4 linked regions of the Pelodiscus sinensis genome follow. The protein of the gene in region 1 binds, or shares a complex with, the protein of each later gene. Links are inferred from orthologs where the notes say so. Each region holds a gene or a part of one and is shown in the gene's direction. Other genes may lie near its edges. The genes, in order: FGF2, FGFR1, S100B and FGFR2.

Region 1 (7,641 bases):
TCCATCCCCCATCTGGCCGCAGGAAGAGCTGGTGGCGCACTGTCCCCTCTGCTGTGACACAGATAGGAGGGGAGGCCATGATCCAGCTGCAGCAATCCTGGCCCCGCCTCTCGTCCAGCCGCTGCTGCCTGAGTGCAACAGCTCAGCCAGGTAAGGTAATCCAGCCCCCGCTCCTCATACTGTCCTCTCCCCTCCTCCCCAACACACTGTCCTGCCTCGTGTACTTTCCACATAACCCAGTCCCTGCCCTGAGCCCCTCATACACAGCAACCCAGACTCCTACACCCCTACATCTCCAGCCCCTGGCCATGAGATTGACAGACGACACCCTGAATGCATGCACGAAGCTGGATTTGACCCATCATGATGTGAACTTCAAGAAATGTGTGAAAAGATACTGCAGCAGAAGTCCTATTAAAGTCTGAGTAGTTGCATTTATGCTATTATTAATCACCATGTTGATTATCAATAATATTAAGTTGTATATTTCAGTCCTGCAAATGGGCATTCTTATACAGCTCTTGTCGACCACTTGTTCTGAATTTTGATGTAGTTTGGCTCTTCGATTTGAAAAGGTTGCCGACCCTGCCCGACCGTCTGTCTTCAGCACCAAAATGCTGAGCGCTCATGGCTGAAAGTCAATGGGGGCTGTGCTTTGAGCATGTAAGTTACTACAGAATGCTTTGTACTCTGAAAACTCTGGTACTAGGACCACCAAATTGGGCATCCAAGATCAATGGATGCTTTTGACTATAATTTCTCTGTGCCGCCATTCCCACTCTGTAAATTGGAGCAAATACTCTTTCATCTTGCAGGGAAGTTTGTGAAAATAAATTCATTAGTCTTTGTGAAGACCAGGGTAAAACATGTAAGGCAACTGAATTTCTGTCCTTAGAGCAGGGTTTGAGTAGTGCACAGTATACAAGGCTAAGGGTTATGTACTGAACAGAGAGAACACAAAATATTGAATAGCCGCTCTTTAAGCACCATCTAGCATGAGCACAAAAAGAGGCAGGGAGACAATACAGAAAAATATGTGGTCATAATGCAAATACACAAGGGGCCAAATTAAGTTTATACCCAGGCAACAGGAACACTGGTATTTTACAGCTTTTGAATGCCTGGGTTTTGTGACCTTAATGTTTTTTGTGCCTAACTGTAATACTCTAAAGGGGCAAATTCCGGGGATTGTCCCCGAATTCAGCTCTGTAGAAGCTATTTTATGTTTAGCTAGAAGCCATCTTGTATAACAGAAACCATTTCAGCTTTTTGTCTTTGCACGTAGGCCAAAGTGAACTTTCTATCACCCCATGCGCCAGGCCAAGACAAATGTGCTATTGGAATGTGTTAATTGGGCTGGTTCAAAAAGGAAAGGTACTCCCTCGTACCTGTCCGCCATCTTGTTGATAAGGCTTTGTTTTTCCTAGTTTAATTAATTATTTCTGTAATTGAATGCCCTGACGTCATTGGCTTCAGTGACATGTACTTTTGTCACAATAGTGACTTAGTTGAGTTGATATAGGAAGAAAAAGTGTTCTAAAGTCTCATCAGGGAAGGAGAAACCAACCAAATTAGATAGTCTGCTGTTATCTCTTAGTGATGGGAACTTTATATGGAATTCCAAATTTGTGTAAGGAAAAGGAACCAAGGTTCATAGATTTTTGTTCCTTGCTGCACAATACATGTGAGATAAGTAAATCTTTATAATTAGCAATGGATTGTCATGAAAATAACAATGTCCAGGTTAGCTTTTTCAGAGATCTTTACTGAAAGGATCATGTTCCGTAATCAAAGGGCTGTTTAAGAGTGCCAGAGTGGACAACTTCTTCCTACACACCCTCTTGTTCACAGCTGTAGTAACAAATTGTTCACTTCGATTTTATCTTAACTATTAACTTAATACTAGCTCTTGTGTAATAGCACATAGTTTCTGCTTAGGAAGAGAACAAGAACTAGGTGGTCCAAGCAATCAAGAAGATGAAACTTCTTACACCCTTGTAGGGTGACTATTCCAGGTCAGGCATGAGGTCATTGACTGGACAGTATTAGGGAAAAATCACATTTTGGCTGTCTCCAGACTCTGGCCTTTGGACAGAAGTTGACAGTTGTATAAATTACATAGAGAAAATGTTTTGCGCTCCTCTCCAAGAAACCAACAAGACTTGGCCACAGCCCCACAGGCTTGAACAGTTGTACTTATGATATTTATAAAATCAAATATTGTAGATGTTATGTTTATACATGCAATATTTAAAATACAAGCACATGGCAATTGTTGTATAGTTAGATAATACAGAAAGAATTACTTCTATCACATTGACAGATAAATCCAATATGGAGGAGCAATGGGAATTGTACCACCAATTCTAGATGCTTGGTTTGGGGTGGTCCTTGTCTAAAACGAAAAGCTAATGCAATGCATGACACTGATTTATGTGCACATTAAAGTAAGTGATTTGGCTATTCGTCTTACTAGAATTATATAACTGTCAAGAGGCAGCTATATTTGCAATAGATTTTAATACAATATCAAACTGGACATTGTTTGGTATTGAGTAGCAGTGATGGAGAGGCTTGTAGTTTGGCATTGCTGGGGTGGGAGAAAATCACTTTTTAAACATAAATATAGTATTTTTGTTGAAAGTAGTCAACCATTTGTCTGACTGCCTTATTTGTTGAATTGGGGTAGAACAATTGTCCCTTAGCCCTCATTTTCCTGGAAAGGTAACGAATATATGTTTGCATAGCTATCAAATGTTTTTTCCTTGAGGTATGAACTTGGTTTATAATGTCCTGACAGAGAGGAATATTGTGTTATGAGGATCCCTTCTGGCAGCCCAGATCTGTGGATCAAGTGGAACAAATTGTGGGTCATCTTCTGGCAATATTTCCTGCTGGTGCAGACTGATAACAGGAAGAGTGTTTTATTCTGTGTTTTCTGACTGTTTACTGTGCTCTTCAGAAATAGTGGAGGAGAGGATTTAGCAAACACTCTAAGGTTGGGCCACTTCTACTAACACAATAAGTCATAACTAATGCTCCTCTAAGATTTACTTGTCTGTTCCTTTTCTTCCGCCATACAGTTTTCATCATTCAGCTTTGCACAAAGGAAAGATTCCTATTACTTGTAAATCTTGTATACATTTTTGCTCTTTCTTGATTCCCAAAAGGAGAAATATTTGGCCTTTTTATTCTTGGATATGCACACACCAGTGAAGAGGAAATATTGTGTCTTTCAGCAGAGTCATCTTTACCCATACCTAGACTGTAGAGTTGTGTAGGACACTTGAAAATCTGGGGCAACAGTGGGCTACGTCTACACTGTAGCCTTCTTCCAGAAAAGCTTATGCAAATGAAGCATGGAGTGGAATATTGCCATGCTTCATTTGCATAATTAACGAGCAGCCCTTTTTGCGCAATAGGCTTTTGCGCAGAAAGGAGCTGTCTACCTAGCTCCTTTCTGTGCAAAAAACCCTTCTGTCCAAAAACCCCCTCTTGCGCAGGAGCCTTTTCCCTGGAAAAAATGAAGAACGGCTTGCGCAAGAGGGGGGTTCTGCGCAAAAAGGAGCTGTCTACACAGCTCCTTTTTGCGCAAAAGCCTCTTGCGCAAAAACAGCTAACTAAATATGGAAATGAAGCATGGCGCTATTCTACACAAGCTTCATTTGCATAAACTTTTCCAGAAGAAGGCTACAATGTAGGTAGACGGAGCCTGGCTCTTAATGTGGATCCACCTGCCTCTTCCTATCCCTGTTATGTGGCTCTGCTTCTTCCGGAGAGGATCTAGTTAACTAAAAAATAACACAGCCTGCCTGACCTATTAGCAGAACATTGAACCTGTGAAAGAGCCATTCAAGTGATAACAAATCCATTTTACAAACATTTTTCCAAGTCCAGGTATATACTGTCAATTTTTTAATTTACCATGTGAGAGTCTAGAGGGCCTTGCTTTAAAATTTGATTTAAAAATAATCCATTTGTGTGTTACTGACAGGCCTGTCAACAGGCGGTGGAAGGAAAGGGGCTGCTCTTTTGCCTTTTAAATCTAGTAAGAACAAGAGGCAGCTAGGATAACAGAATGCAGGACAATGTAGCACTTTAAAGACTAACAAGATGGTTTATTAGATGATGAGCTTTATCTGAGGAAGTGGGTCTGGCCCACGAAAGCTCATCATCTAATAAACCATCTTGTTAGTCTTTAAAGTGCTACATTGTCCTGCATTTTGCTTCAACTACCCCCGACTAACACGGCTACATTTCTATCACTAGGATAACAAGCACTCCCCTCCCCTTATCTACTAATCCAGTAGTTGATAGACTTTTGCTTTAGTACTGGTTTAGCTGATTGTTTGAAATTTAACATCCCTACTAGGCAATTTAGACTGGGAGGTGGGAGTTGCTGTTTTCCTGGCACTGGAGCAGAGACGATTCAATTTATTCCTGCCCCGAAGTGCAGGTCCTAGGGTGTGAAATGAAGATCTTCCTCACGCCCCCACTAGCTTTAATACCCCCCCTTAACCGTCGTCTACAAACCCCCCTCCAGAAGAGCAAATGAAAAAAGGGTTGGTATAGTGCCTAAAAAGTGACACCGCCCCAGCTGGCTCCTTTCTGCGGCGCCAGCTGCCCCAGACTCGCTCTGTCTACGACCAGTTTGTGAAAGCGCGCGGATGCTGTTGCCCTGCAGCCGGCAGAGGGTCGGGAAGGGGACTTTCCCTGCGCACTCCAGGCGAGGGAGCGGGCGGGGAGGCAGACAGGAGGCTGGCTGTGCGGCCAGGGGAGGCAGGGCCGGGCAGGGTGGATGGGGAGGGAACCGCTCCTCCGGCTCGGCTGCCAGTTTCTCCAGCAGGCGCAGCAGGAGGCTCCCAGTCCCCCCGGCCAGGCAGCGGAGCGGCCCAGCGAGCCCCCAGCGCCGGGCAGGGGGCGGAGCAGCAGCGGGAAGCCGAGGCGCACAAACAAGTGGCTGAGAGCGGCGCTTGCCTCTGGCCCGCCGCGACAGCCGGGCGACGCTCGTTCCCGCACCTTGGCCGGCCCACGGGCTCGCGGCGCCCGGGCGTTGCGCAGCACCCTCAGCCCCGCCGGGCAGCCGGGAGCCGCTTCCCGCGCGGAGGCGGCAGGGCCGGGGCGTCGGGCTCGGAGAGGAGGGGCCGGGCCCCCACCGGCAGGGGCGAGGCTGGGCGGGCGCGGCGAAGGGCGAAGCCGGCAGGGGGCGAGGCTGGGCGGCCGCGGCAGGGGGGCCGGGCACCAGGGGGTCTCCCCGGCCCGGGACCCCGCGGCGGGGCGGATGGCGGCGGGGAGCATCACCACGCTGCCCGACGACGGGGGCAGCGGCACCTTCCCGCCGGGGCACTTCAAGGACCCCAAGCGACTGTACTGCAAAAACGGGGGCTTCTTCCTCCGCATCAACCCGGACGGCAGAGTGGACGGAGTCCGAGAGAAGAGCGACCCGCACAGTGAGTACCAGCCTCTTCCCCTCCCACCTGGGCACGGCTTCGGGGCAGGCCCCGCCGAGCCCCAACTCCTCCCGGAGGGGGCACTCCTGGCTCCCTTGAAAACAATGGCAAGCGCTCGCGTCCCGCTTAGTGGGGGCAGGACAGCGCCCCAGGCATCCAACCTGTGCCTGTTACCTTCGAGCCATCGGTGGGTGGGGTCGAGGGCCTGAGTGCTCTCCTGCTTTGGGCCCCCACCTGCTGTGCGATCGGGGGCTAATCACTCAGCCTTTCTGGGCTTCTTCACATGAGAAAAATCTCCCGGTGTGTGATCAGGATTGGGGACAGTCATAACCATGACTTCGCAGTCAGTGCAGAGGAGCTTCATTCAGGATTGTGACGCTTTAAGGCTGGTTAGCTGCCTGGGTGCCTCAACTGCAAACTGTAGCCAGGAGTTTAACTAGAATGCTCCCCATCCTATTCAAGCATAGGAAAACGTTCTTGCCTATACCCGACTTTTCCCCTGTCTCCAAAATGGATAGAACGCCACTTGCCTAGTTCATTGAGAGTGAAGTTTACGGTTCCTAACAGGAGATGATCTCAGTGTAGATGGTAAATACTTTGTCTGCTTTACTAACGGTTATGGCTCTATTAAAGCACATAAGCTCTCTTCCTCAACCAAAAGAGTGGGGCACCTGTTTGTAAAAGGTTTTCAATTTCATGTATAAACTAGGGATGTTAATGCATCTAATTATGTAATCGTGTAACCACTGAAAATCATATAGAGGCAACAGCATGGGTGAGGGTCTGTGTGTAACCCTGCACATTAACTGATGTAAATGGTTACACTTTCACATCCCTAATATAAACTTGGATCAAAAGACAGTAAAAACAAGTGTACAATACTTTGAACCAACTCCTAGACAGTATTTGTTGTCAGTCAAGCATTACTGATGGGTTCCTAGCAGGTTTTCTACTCAGTCAGTGCTAAACCCTGATTAATAGGTAGCAGGTTTAACAAAAACAAAAGGAAGTTTTTCTTCACTCAGCTCAGTCAACCTATGGAACTCCTTGCCAGAGGATGTGGTGAAGACTACGACTTCAACAGGGCTCAAAAAAGAGCTAGATAGATTCATGGAGGTTAGATCCATCAATGGCTGTTAGGATGGGTAGGAATGGTGTCCCTAGCTTCTGTTTCTCTGGAGGTGGGTGACAGGAGAGGGATCACGGGAGGATTACCTGTTGTGATCCCTCCTTCTAGGGGATCTGGTATTGGCCAGTCTCGGCAGACAGGATACCGGGCTAGATGGACCTTTGGTCCGACCTAGTATGGCTGTTCTTATATTCTAACTTGTGTGTGTGTGTGTGTGTGTGTGTGTTTCTCCTGTCTATTAGAGAGAGCCCCCAAAGATCACAAAATCAGATAAGGATCGAAGGCACCAGGCCAGGTTTATTGCCAAGCAAAGTACAGTAATAGTTGTCAACGAATAGACTTGCCCCAGAGCCACTACTCATATGTACCTCATGACCAGTGCCTGTAAGCTGAGCACTTGTGTGGACACTCAGGAGAGATACAGATGCTTCTTAGCTGATTAGCAGAGCGCCCGCAATGCCTAGAGCCATCAGCATGTATTTCTATTGCTGGTGCACATCTGCACATGTGTTGGTGCACATAAAATTTATTCTACACATGGATGGAAAAGCTTAGTGGGAACATTGCTTGTGACAATGGAATACCTCACTCAAAACTATTGATCTAATATTACCCCCTTGACTAGACAACAATTCTTTGAGTGTACACTTTTAGACACAGGTGCAAACAAATTACACTTCACTCCTGACATATCAGGTTGCCGTCTTCTGACATTAGATCCACCCCTTACCTTGTACATAGTTCTGTCACTATCTATCATGCTGTCAGTTTAGACCCTGTCCTAAATCTGGTTTTGTATGTTCTTGTTATCTTTGGTGTGTGTTGGTACCAAGATGTTTCTCAATGAGGTGTCCTTCATGACCTCTGGAATGTGCTTACAGCCTGTGCTTAGCAGGTATGTGTGTTTCCGTAACATCAGCCCTGTTCTTGCCAGCTTCTGTGAGCAGGGCCTGCCTCATGCTCACAGCTTAATTCTGTTTTATATTAGCAAAGTCTTTACCATTGCTGTTTAGGTCAATGTTTGTTTCGGGCCCTCATCTTACTACATTGTTCTAGGGGAAG
Region 2 (7,428 bases), on another chromosome or scaffold:
AGCTCGCGCTCCCCGGGTCAGGTGCCCAGACAGCCATGGGGCGGGGGCGGAGGAGGCAGGAGACAAAGCCCCAAACACCAGGACTGCCCCTACGAAATCAGGACAGCTGCTCCCCTGTCCCCAGGGAGCCCAGCTCACGTCCCCCCAGCCCGCCAGACGGTAACAGCTCAGTGCAACTCCTGTCTTTTGAGCTGGGGGCTGTGGGGCTACGTGGGCGCTGCAGCGCTAGTGCCGGACACCGCAGGGATCCCCGGGTAGCCATTCTGCAGCTTCTGAGCGGCGCTTCGGAGCCGCGGGCGGTCGGCAGAGAGCTGCGCAGCCAGCGCCAGATTTCAAAAGAAGCTATTTTGAGCTACCGTCGAAGTAGGAGACGTCGTGTGTGTAGCTCCAGTGGCCTCGCCTGTTTCCAGCAGCAGCGCGGTGCAGACGCACCCTGGGTGAGGGACTCCACTCCACCAGGTGCCAGGCGGTCGGACTCTTGTTCCCGTTGTCGGCACGTTCCCAAAGCCTGTAACTGAACCCCCCGAATTTCCCCACCAGCCCCCCTCAGGCTGCTGCCTTGTTAATCCAGGCAGGCAGAAACCCCTCTGGAGGAACAATAGCCGGGAGGTGCGAGCCCTCCCCCACTGCCTCCCCTGGCAGGGAGGGGACAAGGCTGAGAGCAAAGCAGGCAGAGCCATGTCCGGGCGTGAGGACGGGACAAAGGACCTGGGACTGGGCAGGCCACTGGGGCTGCTGCTGCAAGAAGAGTCAAATGCAAGTCAGAGCATCCGACCGGGGGAGGGGGCCTGCGCTCCTGCCTGCCTCTCTCCAGAGCAGGCCCCGGGGTGGGCAGGCCCCGGAGACCAAGAGGAGTTTTCCCGGCACTCCAGCTCCGCCATGGCCCTTGTCAGCAGCCCCGGGAGAGCTCTTGAACCTGGCTCCTGCCAGAAGGGACAGAGGCTGGGGGAGGGCTGGCAGGAAAACACCCAGGCATGGCCTGCGGCAGCTGACTCGGTGGGCTCAAATTGCAAGGGGGCTGTTTGGCTGTTCTGCAGTCCAGTGCGGGGGAGGGTCCCAGAACCTGAGATTCCATGCCTGGGCTTCCTTCCCGCAGTGTGGACGCACCGAACTGAGCTCTGGCGCTCTCGTCCCTTGGGATCCTGGTAGCAGAGCCAAGCTCCGGGCACTCTCCTCCCTTGGCTGTAAAGAGCCCGTCTGCCGCCAAACGGAAACAGACAAAATCAGGGTAGAAAAAATGCAGCTTTGAAAGCAAAACAAACAACAAACGGCTCCTGCCCACCGGTGTTTTGACCCAGCTCAGCGCCTGGGTGTGTGGCCCTGAGACCAGCGAGGAACCCTGAGCAGAGAGGTAGCGGGGTGCTCTGGGAAAGGCGGCAAGCCGGCGAGGCCGAACCACAGCTCCAGGGAGATCGGAGATCGGTATGTCACAGCTCCCCACCATAACCTAGTCATGGAGCCACCGAATGTAACGCCTGGAGATCACGGTGACCATCCAATCTGTTCTCCTGCAGAACATGGAGCAGAGAACTTTGCACCTTGATTCCTGCCTCCAGCCCATATCTGATGACTGAGCTAGCGAGAGCTGCACAACCCCATGCCCTGAACGGACGTGATCCGTAGCAACACCCCGCAGGGATAGGAGAGTCCTAGAGGAAAGGTCGCTTCCCTCGCATCCACCAATATCTATCGATCACCCTGGCAAAACCCACTGGCATCCCAACCGGAGCCACTGCCTGTGCTGGTAAGGGGCTGCTCTCGTTGTAAAGACGGATGCCTGGCATTTGGTTCAGATATCGCCGTGGTGACTGATGGATCTAATTCAGCCTGTCTTGTTTCACTTCATAACTTAATCATTTACACATTGTCTTCCACAGTGAGCCAGGAGATGTCTTCATTCCGGGCCGGACCTCTCTGGAGACTCACCCAGACTCCCTCCCTCGCTAGGCCCCTTAAATCAAACCTGCATTCGCCTGGGAGCACCCCGCCAGAAGCTGCTTGCTACTGGACCTAGGAATTTTGAAGCCAAGTAGGGTTTGGGGCAGATTAATTTGCATGACAATAGACGGAGCATTCCACTCCCCCTGCAGCTACCTCCTGGCCGAGCTGGTGTCAGAGGCCTCCAGAAATCCCCAAGTTGGATTGCTGCCTTTGCCTGCAGAGATGTTCCCAAAGGGTTCCCAGCTTAGAACTTGCACCCTGTTTCTCGGCTGGCCCTCGCAGCAGGGTTCACCTGAGACAGATGGGGGAAGTGAAGTCAGCTGTCTGCTGGTTTTGGATTGCTCTGTGGTTTGTGGTCCAGATGCTTTGGGTCTGACAAATCCTGTCAAAGCCCATCAGAGCGGGAAGATATGGGTTGGATTTTCAGAGGGCACTGTGGGTGCTCATCACGTCCACAAGCCAGGCCACGTATGCACTAGGGGACTACATTTGCCTATCTATGCAGTAACTAAGAAAAACATTTGCCTATAGCTTTTGATGGATACAAATATGCCAAGAGGACAAACCTCGAATAGATTGTTCAAGCCAACAGAACCCCCAGATAATAGCAGTGAGTTTGGCATGTTTTTGTCTATCAAGAGCAAAAGGCAAAAAAAATCTGACGGGAAGCCATCAGGCAGCTCTTGCACATGAAAGCAAACTCTGAAACTTGAGGATTTCGGGCCTGATCCTGTGGTCAGATCCATGCAGTGCCCTCACCGCATAAGGGTCTGATCACTCCTGGTCTTTCTTAGGCGGCACATAATCAAACCAAGATGTTTGTGAGCTGGAAGTATCAAACGTAGGAAAGAGGAACTCAGCTAGTCCATGACAGGGTCGGGATATTAATTCAGAGGGACTTTCTACTGGAAAACAAAGTAGCCACAATAAAATCCGATTTTCCCTGAGCCTGTGCCTCGGATTTCTCTCTCCTTTTGTTACTGTTTGTTATTTCACTCCGGAAAGCTTCAGGCAGTTTGCACGAATTAACAACCAGAGGGGTAGGGAGCGTGTGTGTTGGAGGGTATCCGTCAGTATCATCCGTCAGGGCTCAAAAATCATGCGTCAAGGCCTAAATAATCATGAACTGGCTTGGAAATCCAGAGACTGCAAAAGGAAAATCCGTTTGGCCTTCTCTGAGCCTTTTTCAAACTTTATCCTCCAACCACAAGGGCTAGAAAACTTACCTAAAATAGACAGAAAGAAAGAAATCTGAGATTGATCTCTTGAGCATAGCAGCTGGGCTTTAACAATCACACAAGTATCAGGAGATTATCATGCGGCAAGAGTTGGCAACACTGTGCTCTTCCGACACGCTGCATGGCTGTTGCTGGGTTCGTTTATTTGTTGCACGTCCGTGACTGTGTGTCTGGCAGCCCACGCTGGCCGAGCCCTGGCTGCCTCCCTCCAGTCCATTGCAAGATGGGGCCTTAGACTGTGAACTCGGCGGGGCAAACACTGGCCTTAATTCCTATCGGACTACAGGTTCCGTCTCTCAAGTCTGGGACTCTCCGGTTCAGCCACATCCGTAGTCCCGCAGGACTCAGATATTGCTGCACCAGAGAGCTCCAGCCCTCCCTGGGGGTCCCCAGCAGGGCCAGCAACTGGGGATTCCCAGCTCAGATCCCCACAGCAAGGGATTTCCACCAGTGGCATCTGGAGATCCCCCTGCCAGCAGCCGGGAGGGGCAGCAGGCTGGGAGGCCAGCAGCGGGAGGGAACCAACCCTGGTCCAAGGAAATCCCCGTCAGACCCGGGCCGGACCAGGGAGGTCCAACCTGTCTAACCTAATCAAACGGGCCCGGATCCTGGGGACTCTGAGAGCGGCCATAACCCTCACAAATCACCAGGGTCAGAACCCCCCCCCTCGGTGGTGGGTTTGTTTTGTGGGCAAATACATTGCAAACCGGGGGGGCCAAGGCAAAGCTCTGCGGGCGGGGGGGGGGAGACTTTCCCGCTTGGAGCCCCGCAGCCCCAAGCTCCATGCAGCTGCATTTCGGAGCGCGCCCATCCCGCCAGCGCTCGGAGCAGCCTCCCAGCTCCGCTCTGTGCCGAGAAGCCGGGGCCGGGCGCGGCGAGAGAGTCCTTCCCCCACGGGACGGGCAGGTCGCTGGCGGGCAGCGGAGGAGGAGGAGCCGGGGAGAAGGCAGGCGGCGGCGGGGGGCGGAGGAGGGGCTGGGCGGGCAGGAGGGAGGGACGCAGCCCTGCTCCGCAGCGCGCACTGGGGACCGGGCAGCAGCCAAGCGCACGGAGCCGACCCGCAGCGCGCCCCGCAGCCACCGCAGCGCGCCCGGGCCCCTGGGCTCCCAGCTCCCGGGGGGTCGGGGCCCCTCGTGTCTCCCCCGGGGCCCGAGCCCCTGCCCGGATCTCCCGCGCTCGGGGCCCCGCGGCGCGATGGAGCCGGGGCGGTGAGCCGGGGCAGCTCGGCAGGGCTGCGCGCCTGGGCCCCGGCTCGGCGCCTTTTGTTCCCAGCCGCCGGGGATCGCGGCTTCGCGGCAGCTCCGGGGGCCCCGAGCGGGACCGGCCCCGCCTGGGGCGGCGGCTCCGCCACTGGACCCCGCCGAAGCGGTGAGTACCCGGGGCGGGGGGCGCCCCACGAGGCCTCCCACCCGCCCCCTGGCCCGGGAGGCGCCATCGCGGCTGCGAGAAAACTTTCCCCAAACTTTGGGGGGGGGCGCCTCCGGGGGGCGGGGCAGCGGAGTGAGCCTGGAGGGGGGGCGTGAAATGCTGCGGGGAGCACCCTGGGCAGCCGGAGCCCGGCCCGCCCCCTCACCGCGGGAGGTTCAGTGTCCGGGGGGCGGGGGAGGCTGGAATGCGACCCCTGGCTCCCGCCCCCGCCTGCCTGGGCCCCGGGAAAGCAGCCGCAGCTTCCCCGGCCGAGGCTGGGGCCAGGTGCCCGGGGCGTCCGGCGCGGGGCTGGGCAGAGCTCGCAGCGCCCCTGGCGCGGGGCCCGATGCGGGGAACAGTCGCGTCCCACCGCCGCCTGCGGGATCGGGCCCCGCGCCGGTGTGTCCGGCCCCCTCCTCCAGCCCCGCCGTGCCGCGCAGGGCGCCCCAGCCCGGCCGAGGGCGGATGTGAGCTGGCAGGACCCCCCGTGCGATGCCTGGTCTGGCCCGGCCGCCAGCGCTTAGCCCTCCCCACGGGGAGCCGCCCGCTGCAGTCAGGCCTGGGGAGGGGGCCCTAAGGCCACGGGGGTCAGGCCAAAGGCCCGGGTCCTGGAGCCTGCCTGCCCTGCCCTGCCCGAGCCGGCTCCCCGGAGGGCGTGGGCAGGACTGGGCATTTCCCACCCTTTTCAGTTCTCCCTTGGCACTGGAGGCGCAGCAGGGGGGTTTCCGCCAGGCCCTGGGGGAAGGTGGCTTGGGAGTCCCGGCTGTGGGGCTGGGCAGGAGCCCTGAGGTGCAGGCGGCTGGCTGGTTTCGGGGGGGGGGGCTCCTTGACCTTGTGTGAACTTTCTGCCTAGTTGGCACCTGGTGACTGTTGATCGTATTGATTATTGCGCCGGGCTGGGCGGGCCTGGCTGATTCAGGGAGCCTAGGGCCAGGGGCTAGGACATTCCTGGCTGACTAGCACACTCCCGGGATAGCGTGGGCAGAGTCGGAGCCTTGCCACCAGTTCCCCTCGGCCTGGCTTGGATGGGCTGCTCCCCCGAGGACGCTGCCTCACCGTCGGGCGTTGCTTTTCCCCTTCTCCCATGGAAACGCTGGGATGTGAGCAGTGCGGAGGGGCCGTGTCAGGGTTCGTCTCGCTGCGATTTGCTGTTTCCTCTCGGAAGCCCAACACCGGAGACCCTACGAGCGCTGCCTTAACCCATAAAACGAGGCCTGCGCGTTCACAGCCGCGGGCTTCCTGAGCCAAAAACGCTTCTTAAGGTACAAAGTTTAGCGGGGGAGGGAAATCTCTTCTGCGCTGGAAACATTCCTCGGGTTTCCAGCCTGTTGATTTTGTCTCTGTAATGGAATAGCGCTTTCTCGAGACGCACTCGGCGTTTCCTTGCGCTCTCCCTCGGGAGATGCACTCTGCAGAGCTGAAGGTCCGAGGAATGGGGGGTTCCTAATACCTGGCTCATCTGAGACGAGCTAGCCGAAAGCTCCCCCTCCTCGCTTTCCTCTTCTAGATTTGGGGCTGATAGAAAAGCATCCCCATAACATGGCCGTGTGGTTTCCCGGCTGCAGGGGGTAGCAGAGTTAGTCTGTTACAGAAAAAAACAACAAATGGTCTGGTAGCGCTTTCTAGACTAACAAAACATGGAGCTGGGATCATGAGCTTTCGTGGGCACCGCCCACTTCTTCAGATGCCTGGAGTTACGGTTTCCCAGTTCCTGCTAATGGTTTGGAATCCCAGATGGGTCCTGATTTGTGCAGTCATGCAGTGTGCTGGGATGCAGGTGCCTGCCTGGGTTTCTCATGCCGACTAATATCTTATTTACATATTTCTCCCTGCTGCAGCGGAAGTTTTTTGGAGCCTGTATTGGTCGTATGGGGAGGCTCCAGCTGGAGGGTCTCGTTAAGGGGATCCTTCTGTAAATACTGTCCCATATGTTAGGGGGTTTGTTAGCAAGTCTAAAACATGTCAGTGGTGCTCTGTCCTCCCTCCTGCAACACCACTGAGCTCCAGGAAGCAAAATCTGGCCCTCTCTTTAGCCTTGGCCGAGAGTGAGAAACGGCTAGCAGTAAACTCCTCGTTCAGGCTGCCTGCAGCTGCACTTGGGGGCTGAGCTTGTGGGGACTTGCTTTCCTGAGGCCTGGCCTTATTTAATGGGCCGTAAGTGCCCAAGGGTGGACAACCAAGCACAGTGAGTCTCTTGAAAGAAAGCTGCAAGGAATTCCTGGAGGTTCCCTTGATAGTGCTGCTGCGAGGCTGTCTGCTCCAAATGGGCGGTGTTTCATTTTAAAATGTGCTGCTAAAAATGTACCAAATGAAGTCTACCTGCTGGAGCTAGCTGCGGCAGCCTGGCTTGCAACGGTTTCTGTACGCACAGGCGCTCTGCTCCGCTCAGCACCGCCACGCTACAAGGGATTCCAGCCCCTCCAGGAGTTTGTGTCCACAAGAGTGTGGGGTGTGTGTACAAAGAGCCCTGGTGGAGAGACGCAGGTGCAAATTGAGGGGTGAGCCCCATGCACCCGAGTGGCCGTGTGGGTGTAAAAGTGCCTGGTGGAGATGGGCCCTTCCTGCAGAGAACTGGCCCCAGGCGAAAGGGCTGTGCATGCCTTTGCTGTGACAAACGGCTTGGCATTTTTGAAATGCACCTTGTTAGACGCTGGAACGTTTCTGGAGCTGAGTGAATAATTGTGGAAAAAGCCAAGGAGCGAATGCTGCCAAGGAGCGCCGTTCCTGATAGGGGATGGTTTTCTGCCAGCCCGGCACACATGGGACTATCTGCTTTGGGGGGTTTCTAAGTAAGTTTCTAGCCTTAATGGTTACCTGGACTGTCTTGTAAACACAATCCCCA
Region 3 (7,490 bases), on another chromosome or scaffold:
CTCTGGCTGTGTGTCTGCAGAGCTAATGTGCATTGTCCCACAGAGCTGCCCACAGGAGGTAGGAGTGGAAATGCTGCTGTGGGGGGAAGCAAAACCCCAGATCCCCACCTTCCATGAGAAGGAAGGGGAGACCCCAGGTGCATGAATGGGCTCTAGGGAACAGGTGTGCCCTGAGGCAGAACTCCAACAAGTGTTTCTCCAGCACTGCAGGCTTTTTACATGGTTGCTTGTGAAACTTTCCCAGAAATGGGACAGTAATTCTTCCCTCATCCACCGGCCTTTTCTATGTAACAAAAGCTTCTCCCTGCCCTGTACACCCGATGGAGCTTTTGTGCTTAGGTCACTGGGCTTTGGATCACAGTCCCAGTGAGGAAGGAAATGTGAGTCTTTCCAATAATTTCCATGGGCTTTGGATCAGGCCAGCCCAGCAGCAATGAGGGTCTTTAATATTCTAGTTGCTTCACTTGGGAGTCGGCTGAGAAATCCAAGTTTGTTTCCCTACTTTGGTAAGGTCCAGGATCAGCTCAGCAGTGAAAAGGGGAGGAACACACCAAGGAATTAGTGTCGGAGGCAGCTTTCTGCCCTAGAAAGTGTTTTTCCGTGCAGCTGTGTTTGCAAGCGAGCCCTGGGGACTGAAGCAAGTGGCACCTGCTCCCCCAAAGATCTCCAGATCTTGTTTCTGTTCTCCCACAGCAGAATAGACCTGCCAGTCACTACCCCATTGTCAGGCAGAGCCTGGTGCGCATATGCTTATAAGGGACAAAGAAATAAATTGGCTTTCTCATCCGCAGCAGCTATAAAAGGGCCTCTTTGTATTTCCCTCAAGAAGAGGGTGGGGTGCAAATGGAGGAGTGAAATATTTGAGACAGCACAATTTTATGCGTTGCTCCCTGGTCCTTTAACCATTTGGGGCCAGATACTCTTCAGTACAGTCTAAATTCAGTATTGCTGAAAGTATTGTAAGGGTTGGGGAATAGCTGAGTGTGCAGCATGCACAGCCAAGGGCAGAGCTGAAGGTGTTCATTTCTGTGCCACGCAAATCCTGAGCACCCCAAACTTGAGATCACTTGAAAACATTGGCTGTGGATTTTAAAATAGCCCTGTCCCTTTAAGAAGCTATTAGGTATGTAACTCTGAGAGCGATGAAGTCATGGTGCTGGCCAAGGCGAGTGTAGCAGTCTGGCAGTACGCAGCGTTTCTGCGCACACCCCCGGCCCTTTCCGTCTGGTCTGTCCTTGAGCTGGAATTGCCAATTGCGCAGCAATGTTCATTAGTGAGATGGGTCTGCTCCAGCCCCCACTGAGACCATTAGAGCTGGGCCAGGCCTGGAAATCCAACCCAAGGATTGATTCAAGCTGTCAGAGCATTACCCCGTGGTAACAGCGACGCCTCCCGACAAATGTGCTTTCAGGGCCAGAACACCTTCAGCTCTGCGCTTGGCTGTGCATGCTGCACACTCAGGACTGACAAGCGCAGCCCAGTTGCCAGCATCCAAACTAGCCACCCTTCAGAGCCTCTTCTTTCTGCGGGATAATCCTGGGCACCACTTTTCCTGAGCCAGGCTGCCCGCGCTCCGAGATGGAACTTCTCAGCCAAGCGCTGCTGTCGTGCTTCTTGGAAGGGCAATGGGGCAGAAGACCAGTGAGTTGCGTAAGGGGAGACAGCTAATACTGCTGCCCACTTTCAGTTGAGATCTCTGTACTGGTTGGCTTATTGGCAGTGGTGACCCAAACTAATCCCATGTGATCCTGAAGGCCTTGTCTACATTGCTGCTTTCCTCACTCCCATTAGCTTAGCTCAGAGCCACAGCAGGAGTGCTAGTGTAGACAAGCCATGCCTTACACCACTATGCCATCCAGCCCAGCTCGGAGCCCTTGGAATAATGGGCCCCCAGCACTAGAGATGTGAATTAATTGTGAAGGTGCCAGGAACCATCTGCAACTGAGCATCCCCCACTGGCTCAGCTGCAAACAGCCCTCACATCAGCTGCTGGGAAACCCCTTCCCTCTTCCCTTCTGAGGAAGACTTAGCTTACCTGAAGGCTACATCTAGATCCCTTATTTTAAGAGAGATAAGGGATCTTTCAGAAAAGGCTTTATTTTCCGAAAGATCCGCGTCTAGACTGGTGCTTTTTTCCGGCAAAGCTCCGTGCAGAAAAAGGGATGCAATCTCGACGTAGCCGAAAGGTCTACACGAGGGCAACCAATATAATGGAAGAAAGGACAAAGCAGGAAACCTGTTTAGGACTTTAAACCTTGTGCATTGATGCATGGCCTGGCCTGTGGAAGAGAGAAAGTATCTACTAAGATTGACTAGCTATGACCATGGAAAATATATAGTTATGTTTTTCACTGCTGGCTGCTCTTTCCTTCACTTGCATCCTAGACTTAAGTGAATATAAATATCCTTGAAAAATCAGGCAGTGGCTTCCTGCCAAATGCTGTTGGCTATCAAAATCCCACTTACTAAAAGCATGCAGATATCCTGGCCAGAGCTTCCAGATCATAGATGGCACTACATTTTACAATTCCATTACTGGATACAAGATCAATTGGTGGACCAGACTGCGTTATCTCAGCTGCTATTAAAAGAATGCCTAGACTTATTGGCTGCGTCTAGACTGGCATGATTTTGCAGAAATGCTTTTAACGGAAAAGTTTTTCCGTTAAAAGTATTTCCACAAAAGAGCGTCTAGATTGGCACGGATGCTTTTGCGCAAAAGCATCCATGCCCAGTATAGACGCGCTTTTGTGCAAGAAAGCTCCGATGGCCATTTTAGCCATCGGGCTTTCTTGCGCAAAAAACTAAGATGCTTGTGTACACTGGCCCTCTTGCACAAGTATTCTTGTGCAAGAGGGCTTATCCCTGAGCAGGAGTGTCAAAGTATTTGCGCAAGAAGCACTGAATTCTTACATTAGAATGTCAGTGCTCTTGCGCAAATTCTTGTGACCAGTGTAGACAGGTGGCAAATTTTTGCGCAAAAGCAAGTGCTTTTGCACAAAATCTTGCCAGTCTAGACACACCCATTGGCTGTGTCTAGACTGGCCGCTTGAATTTCCGCAAGAACACTGACTTCCTACTGTCTGAAATCAGTGCTTCTTGCGGAAATACTATGCCGCTCCCATTCGGGAAAAAGTCCTTTTGCGCAAAAGGGCCAGTATAGACAGCTCAGATTTGTTTTGCGCAAAAAAGCCCCAATCGCGAAAATGGCAGTCGGGGCTTTTTTGCGCAAAAGCGTGTCTAGATTGGCACAGCCGCTTTTCTGCAAAAAGTGCTTTTGCGGAAAAGCGTCTATGCCAATCTCGATGCTCTTTTCCACAAATGCTTTTAACGGAAAACTTTTCCGTTAAAAGCATTTGCAGAAAATCATGCCAGTCTAGACGTAGCCGTTAACTACTCTCCCCAAATCAGGTTCCCCATCCCACATGGCAGATATTAGTCTCATGGCTGACTGTGCTTTGGAAGATGCTCCGGTCCTACAGGAATGAGGGCAGGATACGAACCTTTATAAAATAGATTAAAATCTGTATCTGGGGACAGAACAGATTTTTTTACCCTGTGTCTCATCTATTTAAACTGTAAACTTGTCAGGGCCTGTCTCTGACAATGTACCTGGGGCGAGTAGAATGGGGTCTTGAGCTCAGATTAAATTCTCTTAGACTCAGGCCAGTGCGGCCACATGAGAACTTGGACAGCTCTGGATTTAATTGTCACTCTGGAATTAGGCATGAACTCCAGGTCTCTGCTCTGGGGAACGCAGGAATTCTCTAAGGGCCATCTAGTCTGGTATTCCCTCTGTCAGGGGTAGGGGAGGTTACCTATTCAAATGGAGGGGGAACTCACCCACTTTCACCTCGCCGCTGTTTCCAATTAACCACACGGTGACATGTCCCCCTGCCAAATGTTTGACTGTGTCATCTTTGCCCCCTGCATTTCTCATTTGTCTTCCCTTCCCTTGCAGAATAGCGGAGCGGCTGCGAACATCCCTCTGGAACACATTCGTGAGCCATCCCTCTGAAATACGCTTGCTCCTTTCCTGTCCCCGTGCCACTTCTCTCGCCCGCTTCCCTTCATTTCCTCACACACACACAAACCATTTTTGCTTCTCTGCCCCCTCTCCTGGCTTCTCCTTCGGAATGGCCTGCTTCGCTCCCCAGGACAGATTCTGACAGCAGAGAGGGCAACAGCTTCCCTGTTTACGCACAGGCCCCGAGCTAGCAAGGGACCTGCCCTCTGAGCCGGCCTGGCCATAGGATGAAATGGGGCAGCTGCCTGTAGGCCCCACGCTTTTGGGGACCCCTCAGTGCCCCCCCCCAGCTGTCCTATGGTCGGAAGGGACCTGGGGATCACGGGGCGTGGTGCAGGTGGCAGCAGGGGTCGCCGCCCCCCCCCATGCACGCGTCACCACACTGGCAGCAGGCGCCTGCCCCATGCTGCCCTGTCCTGGCCCTCTGTGCTCTGTGTCTCCTTGGCACTGAGGGGGGTGGGACACAAGCCGGGGAGCCAAGCCGCTTGCCCCCGGCCAAAGCCTCTCTCTTACCAGCCCCCGGTCTGCCACACCATTAGCACAGGGCCCAGCTACGCTGAGTGGGGGTCGAGACACCGTGTCCCCCGCAACTGCCAGGAGAATGGGGGTGGAAAGCAAATGAGCTGGGGCTGCACAGGGCAGGGGACTGTCACAGGATGGGGGGCGCGATAGGAAAGGGACTTGGCCCCTCCCCCACAACTAATTAGCTGCCTCCTGTGGTGGTGTGTCAGGTACCCCCCAGTCCTGCACCCCGGTCCGCAGCAAGATGTGACTCCGCCAGCCAGTAGAACAGGAGGGTTTATTGCTTCTCCAGGACACAGGACAGACATGATGTGGCTACAGGAGTTGGGGCCAGGCAGCCTCAGTCCCCTTGGGGTAGGGGTCCAGCCCCCCCCAGCCCCCAGTACTCAGCTTAGTCTCCGCTCTTCCTGTTTTCCCAGCCGAGCCACACCCTTCCTTTGTTCAGACCCCGTCCCTGGACAGGTGAGACCCGGTTGGGCCACGGACTACGTGACGTGCGATTCCTCAGGGCGACCCCCCGCTGGGCAGTGCTACAGACACAGGCCAGGAAGGGTCACTCACAGCCCACAGCGACCAGAGACAGCCCAACCAGAGTGGGCCCAGGGCCACCAGAGTCAACAGCCCCCCACTACGTCACAGCTCCCATGAGGTGGGTTTGACAGCAGGGGCCGGGGGAGGGTGGTAGCTGCAGGGCACCATGGCCTCTGTAAAAAGCCAGCGGCAGCGCCAACAGCTAAAGCAAGACTCCTACAGGGAGTGGGGTGGGGCTGGAATGGGGGCCCCCAGTCCCCTAGTGAGTACCTGGCTGGGGACACCTGTTGGATGAGGGCAGGACTGTGCGGGGCAGTGGGGGGAGGCACCAGGGCCTGTTGCATGGATTTGATTTGTGTTGGGCAGAGTTGGAAAAAACTGAGGTAAGAGCCTGAAATCCTGCTGTGGGGAGCTTTACAGAGGCAGCAGCACAGGGTGGGGTGGGGAGTAAATCTCAGAGGGTTAGCAGCGTGAGTCTGTAGCTGTGCAAACAATGAAGTCCAGAGTTATTTGGGCATAAGTTTTTAAGGGTCAAAACCATTCCTCAGATGAATGGAGGGGTTTTACATGTGACTTTTCTTACTCCATTGCACTGATTAAGAATGCAATCAAGTCCCTGTAAAATTACGCAAATATTGATTCAGCAGCACTGAGAGAGCAGCATCGCAGACTTTCAGGATCAATACTACCTTGATTTAGACTCAGCTCATTTTCAAGATGCAGCTTTGCTAGGCACAAAAAGCCAACTGAAGCCCGTGAAAATCAGCTTTGTTCTGCATGTAATCTGTGTTTGTCAACTTCCACTCCCCTTTGCATATCCAGCAATAGCAAGAAGGGGAAGGTCATGTGTGGGGTTTGTGCTTGGTTGCTGGTATTTCCCTGATGTCCCACCCAAGCTGCCATGTTTACAGTACAACACCCACTTTGGTGCATTGCAGCAAGTTTGCTCTGGCAGGTGTCATTCTCCAGTGGCATCCACGCGATAGGCACTCTTACAAGAAACAGCCCTGCGCTGGAATGACTATTTAGAGGGACTTTTGCATAGCACCACGTGTTATACAAAACATTATTTGATGGTTGGTTATTGCAAACACAGCAACTGCCAAGTGACTCAGCAAGCTGGCCTGAAGCCCGCTGGGGTTCGACCTCAGATATCCGCACAAAGACAAATTGGATAATGCGCCTGTTCTGCATTCCGTGGGCGTCTGTGCATATGCAGACTAGTTGTCCACTGTCATATCCCAGTATTAGGGTTGCCAGTTGTCCAGTATTCACCCGGACAGTCCAGTATTTTCACCTCTTGTCCGGTAAAGAAAATTCAGAAAATACCAGACCCCCAAGATGTCCGGTATTTTCTGATTTTTTTTCCTGGCCAGGCAGTGAAAATTCCGGTGTGACGTAGTGTTGGTATCTTGCTGGTTGCTAGGCTTGGGCTCTGGGTGACCTCCGCTGGCAGCTGTTTGTAGCACAGCCCAGCAGGACAGGGGATGAGTCATTATGCAAGGGGCTCCCAACCTGTCCGACCAGTTACCTCCCAGGGAGAGAAACGAAGGAAGGAGGGGAGGCCAGCCCCTGGCTGGGGGGCAGGGCTGGAAGGGATGTTTTTAGTTTCTGTCTGGTATCATGGAGGAAGCAGCCTAAACAACAGGCTGGGATCTAGGGACCCAGTCTCCCCCATCTCAAGGGGGGCTGAGGCATCCTAGGCCTGCCCTGTATCCGGATTACATCTTTGCTGTGCTGTATCCTAGAGAATCAATAAACTCCCTCTAGTCTACTGGCTGGTGGAGTCTGTTCGTGCCACTACGGGGGTGCAGGAGGCGGGGGATCCCCGACGCACCGCCACAGCCGGGCATCTGGCAACCCTACAAACACTCAGCACCCAGCCTCTCCCAGCCCCATGTTTACCTGGTTTCGCAAGACTGCCGGCACAAAATGGCTGCCAGCAAAAAGACCAAGGGGAAGCAATGATTCCCCTGGGTCTTAGTGCTCAACCCCTCCCCTGTTCCTAGCTCTGCACTCACTCTTAAAGGACAAGCTGTCTTAATGCTGTTTTATTTTATATATATAGAGAGAGAGATAGAGAGAGAGATTAATAAGTCTTGGACTCCTTTTTTTTCCTACCCCTCTTTTTGTTTTCCTTCAACAGAATTTTTTCCTGGTGTTTTTTTTTGGGGGTGGGGGGGAAGGGAGAGGAGCAAGTGTTTGGTATTTTTGTTTCAACCATCTGGCAACCCTACCCAGTATGCGTCTCTGGGTGGTGAGTACTAGCACTAAGCAGGGGATTCAGTTCTTTTTCTGAAGAAGCAGAAGATAGTTTTAGCAGCTGTGTTTGAATAAAAAAAGCTGTTGCCCACTCCAGGCTTTGCATGAGGTTCTATAGGGTCCCCCTTCTGACTCTGGGCCATCGAGC
Region 4 (7,409 bases), on another chromosome or scaffold:
AATGACAAGAATGATGAATAGCAAGAGGTTTAAAAATGCTTTGTGGTTCAAATGGGGCCTGCTCAAAAAAGCCACTAAAGCCAATGGAAAGCACATGTTCAGCTTTTCCTTGGTTTGTCTAAAATTATGTATGTTTCTTTTTTTTAAGCAATTTTTATACGAGTTCATTAATGAGTTGCCTGAGAATGCTGACAGCCTAAGGCAATACAGGTTCTATAATTTAAACACTATCGCTCACATATTCTGCTTTTTTTAATACTAATATAGTGGAAGCACATAGCAACTTGAAAAAATTTATTCTTGTCCCATTAATGTCTCTGTATTTCCTTCCACAACACCTTCCCTGAACAAATTCATAAGGCTACTACCCCTATTGGCTTTCAGTCCTACATCCAGGGGACACTGCTGTTATGTTGTCCACAAAAAATAGCCAAGAAAGGATGAAAGCCCTACAGGGCAAGGACTGTCCTATGGCTTGTAGAGAATCAGGTATAATAGAGCCCTGAGCCAGAAGGGGATACTGGTGTTACAGCTCCACAAAGAAAATAGCAATGATGATGTTTAACTTCACTGGTTCTTAGATCTGAGTTTCTGAAAGAATCAGTGCTTCACAGCAAGTAGCAGAGTGAGAGACAAGTATGTAACACACAATATATTGCAGATACATAATGTAATTTAGGAAAAGGTTAATATAAAGCTTTTGCCCCAAATGAAAGAGAATAGAGAGATTGAGCATTAGGTGTTGAAGCTCTTTAAATGAACAGTTCAAATTCAGCTCAAGGTCAGAAGTGATTTTGAGTTATTAGTCACCATTTGATAACTTATGTGAACTGACTTTGATGATCTCCCTCCAGTTCCCCAGTGGGCAAGTATCTACTGCACACGAATGGGCCGCTGAGAGGCTACCCTTTGACAAGGAGAGGTGTTTTGGTCTGTATCGAGAGGTAGATATGGCAGTGTGGAGTGATTTGCTCTGCTGCTGTCCAAATTGTATCAGATCTTTGGTTAACAAGAAAGAAAAAAGAACAAGTGTCTAGGGTTTTATAAAGCAGCTTTCACAACCACTAAATTCACATGAAATTAGAAAGAAACCTCTTCTGATTCCCCAGAAATATTCTAAGTAGGTCTGAAAAAGAAAAGGGATAATGAATACACCCTTCATAATGTAAGAGGCATAAAGAATACAGCCTCCTGAGAAACAGATTGCTTATAATTTTCAAAAGAACTTGCTAGAAGCCACAATGTGTTTTGGAAGGAATAAGGATCATATTTCAGCCTTGGATTTTAGACACACATTGTGACACCCTGTGGCAGACATGCCAGGAACTTCATTCCATAAATCACATTTCTTGAAAAGGAGGCCTCTGTACTCAGTAGTAGTAGCAGCAGCAGCAGCATTTGTTTCTTCTTTTTCTTGGCTGCTTCACTTGGAAGTGGTATAAAGACTTAACCCTCGTCAGGAGAACCTTCAGAGACATAATGTAGTATGTGAAAGCTCCAACTTTTGCCTTGTTAAATGAATCTTAGTCCATATAAACACCCCCTGGAAAAAAATCCTGATAATGCTGCAAAATGGGTGTGCTGTTTTCATTTAGGTTTTTTGGCAGCATTTTTAACAAGAATATTTCTGTGACTCTCAAACCAGATGCATCATCTTGGATGGACTATGATGGCAATAAAAACATCACCAATATCTTTATTCTGAAAACAGGTTTTGTTAGAAACATCTTACCAGATAAGGAGAGAGAATGGGTAAGAATATTTATTCATTTGCTTAGACATGAGTGAGTCCTTATCAGGATTTTGTGTTCAACTGGACCCTTGTTTAAGTTCTTGGGTCCCTGGGTTTATTTTTTTTATTTTTCACTGTTTTACTTTTACTTTCCTTAAAGTGGTGCTTTTCCTTTTCTTTAATTGTTATATAACTCTAGGGAACTAGAAACATTTCTTACCTTGCCTTTTCATCCTGAAATGTCACAAGTAGATTTTTTTTTTGCATTTTTTGTGTTTATATTTAAACCATGTGAGTTGTGGCAACCAATGAGATACTCCCATATTTAAAGTTAAGCATGTGCCTAATTAAGTACTGTGTTGGGACAAAGGATAGACACTCAGTTCACCTAATGAGCACTGCCACATTACTGGTGGTGAAAGACAGTGATGATCTCACCGTAGCCTCTTGGATAGCCGCAGTACTGTCCTGTCTGCAGAGGAAAGTGCTTCCTGTCAGCCACTGAGAGTTAAAAAATAGTTCTTTCCCACCATAAAGGAATATACATTTTGGATCAAATTTTGTTTTGACTCTCGCTGTCCTAGTTTTTTTTAAAGAAATCAAGCACAACTAACTGTTAAAGATATTGCTTATTAAATAAAGTGGAATCCTTTAGATGTATCATTAAAATTTATAGTAGAGAGATCATGTAAAGTGCTGGACTGGCAGTCTGACAACTAAAAACCTCTGTTTATTTGTGGAACAGGTACAGCACATGCAGCTGCATGTTAAACTGCCTGTGTGTCTGCAGAAATGTGTTTCACCTGGGACTGAAGAACCATCCTATAGCACAGTGTAGCAGTTCAGTTTCCATACCTATTCATTCCCTCCTTGCATTCCACAGAAAGGACCATTAGAGGTGTCAATTTGTCCTAATTTTGCCATCCTACGATCTTGATATCTGTCCACTAGAAACTGCAATGAGACCACAATCTTGTTTAATGGTGTAATGACTTGGAATGTAACGTTGTTTGATAGTTGACCTGGACTGCGTTGAAGTGGCATGTCTATGCAGCAGCTGGGAGGTGTCATTCCCTGGGTAGACATACATGTGCTAATGCTGCTTGAGAGAGCCCCTAAAAATAGTGGTACACAATGCTGTTGAGATTTTGGTAGTTCTACAGCCCACAGCACAGACCTGGAGGGCTGCTAAAGTACTTGAGAGGCCTCTTTCCCCTGGAGCAGCCCAGGAACAGGAGGGTCCACGATGGCTTAAAGCCATTTGCACTCCTTTCCCCAGAAGCAGTGAGTTCTGTGCTGCACCACTTACACGTAATCTCACCTGGTATCTCTACCAGTCCCACAGCCATTTGGTTTCATGAATTCAGTCTCATTTTCCCCACAAATGTCTGTCTTCACTCTCTGTGATACCAGGCCAAGAAATACAGCTTTTTAAAATTGAAAATAACATGGACCAGAAGATGTGGAAATCTTGAGGTTGTAGCTGCCTCAGACAAAACCAAAACATATTTACTTATTATACTGTTTGCTAACAAAGACCAGAGCATGGAAACGAAAGGCAGCTTCCAGGCAACAGGTGTGCTTACTACCTTGTCCCCCTTTCCTTTGTTTAAAACACAAGGATGACAGCACTAATGTGCTGGTCATGCTGGGGCTAATTCCCAGTTCCAGCAATCAGTAGTTTGTGATCTCTAGCACGGTGGGTTTCAGACTTTTTTCTCATGATCCAGCTGATGAAAATTGATGCCTGTGACCCAACATAATTTGACTAAAGTGTGGGCTGATGATGAGAGCTTCAGTTTTGGGAGTGCAGCAGGGCTAGGCCAGGAAGAGCTTATCTCGAGTGGCCCCCAGTCAGTGCTGCAGCGGTACAAGTAGGTTTCCTGCCTGTCCTGGCACCACAGACTATGTTGCACCCCAGAAGCAGCCAGTAGCAGGTTCTAACCATTGGGATCATGGAGCTAGTGCTCAGGGCAGAAGCAATGCACAAAGCCCTGTGCACTCTTTTGCCCCCCATTCTCACCTAGGAGCCAGGCCTGCTGTTGGCCACTTCTGGGGGGCAGTGCAGTCTGCAGAGCCAGGACAGGTGGGAAGGGTGCGTTAGTACCCTCACTGACCACACTGCATCAACGAGATCCAGTGCCAGACATTCTGCTACTCAATCCTGAGCTGCAACCTGTAGTTTAAAACCACTGCCTCAGTACACACAAGGAAAGGTGCAATTTGTGCTTATTAGGGCTTCAACATGAAATGAGCTCTTTGGGTATGAATCTTATCTCCCCTTGCCTGAATGAAGATTTTGAACTAGTACATCTACATGGATGGCTGGAAATGAAGCAAATGCCTTGTTTTAATCTAGACTTAGCCCTCAAAATTCACTATCTCTTTCTTCTCAGAAACCCGGAGGTCTGACCCTTCCAAAACCATCCCAATAATATTTTTCACTTCTCCCCATGCACCCGAGAATGAGGGCTTTTCACAGGTTAATGGCTAAATGAACTTTGTTGTAAATTTGATGCTATGACTTCCAAAGGAAAGAAATGACAAGCATTGTTTTGCTGAGTATTACTTGGTGCTGTGCAGCCCTAAGGCATGCCATGAGTTAACTTTGCATTGTGATATCATTTCTGAGTTTCATGTCTGTCTTTTTATGTGAACACCACCCACACAAAAAGGGAGACCTGTCAAGCAGCAACATGTTCAAGACACCTAGACACACCTATTGAAGCAAAGCTTTCCCTGACGGAGTGTTTGGCATTCTTTTAGCCTTTGCCTATTCAATGGAAGAAAGCAAACAGGTATCGTAGAGTTTATTTTCACGTTGTATTTGTCCAACACCATAAACCTTCTGTGAATTGTAGTTCATGGACAGTCATGGAAAAGGATCTTCATAGCACATTTTCCTGCAGATTCCTAACTGCATATAATACATAATTCTATACCCTAAGCTTCTGGTGAAAACAGCAGTTTTGCATGTACATGCTGTGCTGAGTCTATTGTGGCATTTGTGTTTTGACTGGATGTTTTGATTTAATATTTATTTATTTATATTGTATTTTGTTTTATTTGCTGAACAGTGGGGGACGCAGGGAATATATAGGTTTGTTAGTTCCGTGAAAGTGGTTTTCAGGGTAAATTCCAGGGGGAAGGATCTTAGAACAAAGGCTAGTTTGAACACAGTACTGGGAGCAAGGAACTACCATGTTCTAGTCCTGACACTGTCACCAGTTTGCTGGATGGCCTCAGAAAAGTTACCACTCTGGTGTCTGTTTCCTGGTCTGTCAAATGGGAATAAGGGCTGATCAATACTTGAATCATTCATTGACATAGCTATAACAAAATACAGGACTATGTAGCACTTTAAAGACTGACAAGATGGTTTATTAGATGATTATCATCTAATAAACCATCTTGTTAGTCTTTAAAGTGCTACATAGTCCTGTATTTTGTTTCAGCTACACCAGACTAACACGGCTACATCTCTATCACTATTGACATAGCTATGTCTCTCAGGAGGATGAAAAAATACAACCTAACCTCCTGTGTAGACAGTGCTAGATAAATGGAAGAATTCTTCTGTTGACTTAGCTACTGCCTCTCAGGAGAAGTTCTCCCATTGCTGTAGTGAGTCCACCTCTCCATTGCTGTAGTGAGTGTCTAGAATAGTCCTGTTGTGAGTGCGGGGACTGGACTTAGTTGACCTGTCAAAAGACCTGGGGCCAGTCTTATGAACCTAAGAAAATCTATGAAATAATGTTTTATATGTTATACTGAATTATCCTCTGCCATAGTGCTTCGTCGCTCATAACCAAGGCCCAAAGGCCAATGTTTGAGGGTTTCAGTTCTGTGTATTGGGACTCAGATTGCAGGGCCCCGCACCCCAGGGCACTGGTACTCAGGAAGACTCAGACTTTGGTCTCTCCTCCTGGGTCATGTAGAAATTTTTATTGTCAGAAGAGGGGGTGTGTCTAATGAAGTTTGAGACCCTCTGGTTTAATGAATCCCCCTTCGTATAGTAAATGTAAAAATATTAGTATTTGAGATGAAAAATAAAATAAGTGTTCCTGTCATGGCTCCTTCCCCACTCTGGCATGATAAATGCAGAAGTGGGGGCCTGCAAGTGTACCCCAAAACCTTATCTACCAGGCTTTGGTACAAAACTTCCCCCCAAAATCTTAAAACCCTAAATTTTGGGAATAAAACTTCCGCTGCCACCACCCAAATATAAATAAAGCAATCAAGGGAAAGATCATTTGGGAAATCTCACCCCTAAAGTAAAAATCAGGGCACACGATTAACCAATTCCAGGTTAATAATTCAGCTTGGACCACAAGTTGCATATGAGTCAGCAGTGTGATGCTGTTGCAAAAAAAGGAAACATGATTCTGGGATGCATTAACAGGTGTGTTGTGAGCAAGGCACGAGAAGTCATTCTTCTGCTCTACTCTGCACTAGTTAGGCCTTGAAGTATTGTGTCCAGTTCTGGGCACCGCATTTCAAGAAAGATATGGAGAAATTGGAGAGGGTCCAGAGAAGAGCAACAAGAATGATTAAAGGTCTAGAGAACATGACCTATGAAGGAAGGCTGAAAAAATTGGGTTTGTTTATTTTAGAAAAGAGAAGATTGAGGGGGACATGATAGCCGTTTTCAGGTATCTAAAAGGGTGTCATAAGGAGGAGGAAGAAAACGTGTTCATCTTAGCCTCTGAGGATAGAACAAGAAGCAATGGGCTTAAACTGCAGCAAGGGAGGTTCAGGTTGGACATTAGAAAAATGTTCCTAACTATCAGGGTAGTCAAACACTGGAATAAATTGCCCAGGGAGGTTGTGGAATCTCCATCTCTGGAGATATTTAAGAGTAGGTTAGATAAATGTCTATCAGGGATGGTCTAGACAGTACTGGGTCCTGCCATGAGGGCAGGGGACTGGACTTGATGACCCCTAGAGGTCCCTATCAGTCCTAGTATTCTATGATTCTATAAAAAGAGAACATTTATCATCACAACAATATTCCTGTTGAAAGCTTAATGCCTAGATGGAAAAGTAACATGATATACTCATGGAGAAACTCCATGGGCTTAGAACTTAGTTACAGAGAAAAACCAACCATTTCTTGAAGTGTGCACAGACATCAGACCTCATCCCTAAAGAGAAAACAATAAAACCTAATGGATTTATCTAAACTTTACCCTACTAACAGAAAGTGAAGAAAGGGTCTTTTCTTGGAGGGAGAGAGAGACAATCTTGTCTCTCTCAGTAGCTGCAGAGCAAACCCCCCAGAGGCAAAGGAGGAAAAAACAAAATTCCTTTGTCCCAGTTGAAAGTCCTACCTACTTTTCTATTGGCCACTCCACCTGGCTAAGTGTGGTTAACCCATTAGTCCCCCGGCTGCTAGCCCTCTCTCATAATCATGACACTTCCAAATTGTCATCTATGACGATCTTCGTTCCCTACCTATTTCCCCCAAGAAACTTGCTATGAAATTAAATTTCCTTAGCTTAGAAGACATTCAATACAAGCTTTTCCAGAGGGTTTTTGCAATGCTTTGGTTCCATCTTTTGCATGTAAAGTTGGGTGCCTTTATGGTATCTTGCCAGGTGGTAGTTTGCCAAGGAATACCATAGATGAAATTGCATAGTGTAATATACTCCAGAACTTCATTCTGCTCACTTTCCAC

Evidence for each region.
Region 2: the proteins of FGF2 (region 1) and FGFR1 are in contact, whole or in part, in a crystal structure (PDB 1CVS), measured with the Homo sapiens proteins. The link is inferred for Pelodiscus sinensis from reciprocal best matches to the Homo sapiens genes FGF2 and FGFR1. Residues at the interface, in NP_001997.5 of Homo sapiens: His158, Phe159, Lys160, Lys163, Tyr166, Gly170, Phe173, Arg186, Lys188, Leu197, Gln198, Ala199, Glu200, Glu201, Arg202, Gly203, Val205, Ser206, Tyr215, Val230, Glu238, Leu240, Asn243, Asn244, Tyr245, Asn246, Leu282, Pro283, Met284; in NP_075598.2 of Homo sapiens: Glu162, Lys163, Leu165, His166, Ala167, Val168, Pro169, Ala170, Asp246, Val248, Arg250, Ser251, Pro252, Val279, Ser281, Asp282, Pro283, Gln284, Pro285, His286, Ile287, Ala314, Gly315, Val316, Thr319, Asp320, Glu324, Gly344, Asn345, Ser346.
Region 3: the proteins of FGF2 (region 1) and S100B are in contact, whole or in part, in an NMR structure (PDB 2M49), measured with the Homo sapiens proteins. The link is inferred for Pelodiscus sinensis from reciprocal best matches to the Homo sapiens genes FGF2 and S100B. Residues at the interface, in NP_001997.5 of Homo sapiens: Arg164, Tyr166, Cys167, Lys168, Asn169, Gly170, Gly171, Phe173, Arg186, Lys188, Asn243, Asn244, Tyr245, Arg262, Lys267, Gly275, Gln276, Lys277, Ala278, Leu282, Met284; in NP_006263.1 of Homo sapiens: Glu47, Ile48, Lys49, Glu50, Gln51, Glu52, Asp55, Lys56, Cys85, Phe88, Phe89, Glu90, His91, Glu92.
Region 4: the proteins of FGF2 (region 1) and FGFR2 are in contact, whole or in part, in a crystal structure (PDB 1II4), measured with the Homo sapiens proteins. The link is inferred for Pelodiscus sinensis from reciprocal best matches to the Homo sapiens genes FGF2 and FGFR2. Residues at the interface, in NP_001997.5 of Homo sapiens: Phe154, Pro155, Pro156, Gly157, His158, Phe159, Lys160, Lys163, Tyr166, Lys168, Gly170, Gly171, Phe173, Arg186, Leu197, Gln198, Ala199, Glu200, Glu201, Arg202, Gly203, Val205, Ser206, Tyr215, Val230, Phe235, Glu238, Leu240, Asn243, Asn244; in NP_000132.3 of Homo sapiens: Glu163, Lys164, Leu166, His167, Ala168, Val169, Pro170, Ala171, Asn173, Asp247, Val249, Glu250, Arg251, Pro253, Ile257, Lys279, Val280, Tyr281, Ser282, Asp283, Ala284, Gln285, Pro286, His287, Ile288, Ala315, Gly316, Val317, Thr319, Thr320.

What each region holds. Positions count from the first base shown.
Region 1 is NC_134715.1:37,761,961-37,769,601, forward strand, and holds the start of FGF2 (fibroblast growth factor 2), read left to right. Parts: upstream 1-4,641; 5' UTR 4,642-4,798; coding exon 4,799-5,450; intron 5,451-5,624; exon of another isoform or gene 5,625-5,762; intron 5,763-7,641. UniProt on the Homo sapiens protein: Acts as a ligand for FGFR1, FGFR2, FGFR3 and FGFR4. Also acts as an integrin ligand which is required for FGF2 signaling. Binds to integrin ITGAV:ITGB3.
Region 2 is NC_134738.1:15,608,395-15,615,822, reverse strand, and holds the start of FGFR1 (fibroblast growth factor receptor 1), read left to right. Parts: upstream 1-4,414; 5' UTR 4,415-4,547; intron 4,548-7,428. UniProt on the Homo sapiens protein: Tyrosine-protein kinase that acts as a cell-surface receptor for fibroblast growth factors and plays an essential role in the regulation of embryonic development, cell proliferation, differentiation and migration.
Region 3 is NC_134717.1:65,124,400-65,131,889, reverse strand, and holds the start of S100B (protein S100-B), read left to right. Parts: upstream 1-4,490; 5' UTR 4,491-5,198; intron 5,199-7,490. UniProt on the Homo sapiens protein: Small zinc- and- and calcium-binding protein that is highly expressed in astrocytes and constitutes one of the most abundant soluble proteins in brain.
Region 4 is NC_134718.1:57,071,103-57,078,511, forward strand, and holds the start of FGFR2 (fibroblast growth factor receptor 2), read left to right. Parts: upstream 1-4,407; 5' UTR 4,408-4,530; intron 4,531-7,409. UniProt on the Homo sapiens protein: Tyrosine-protein kinase that acts as a cell-surface receptor for fibroblast growth factors and plays an essential role in the regulation of cell proliferation, differentiation, migration and apoptosis, and in the regulation of embryonic development.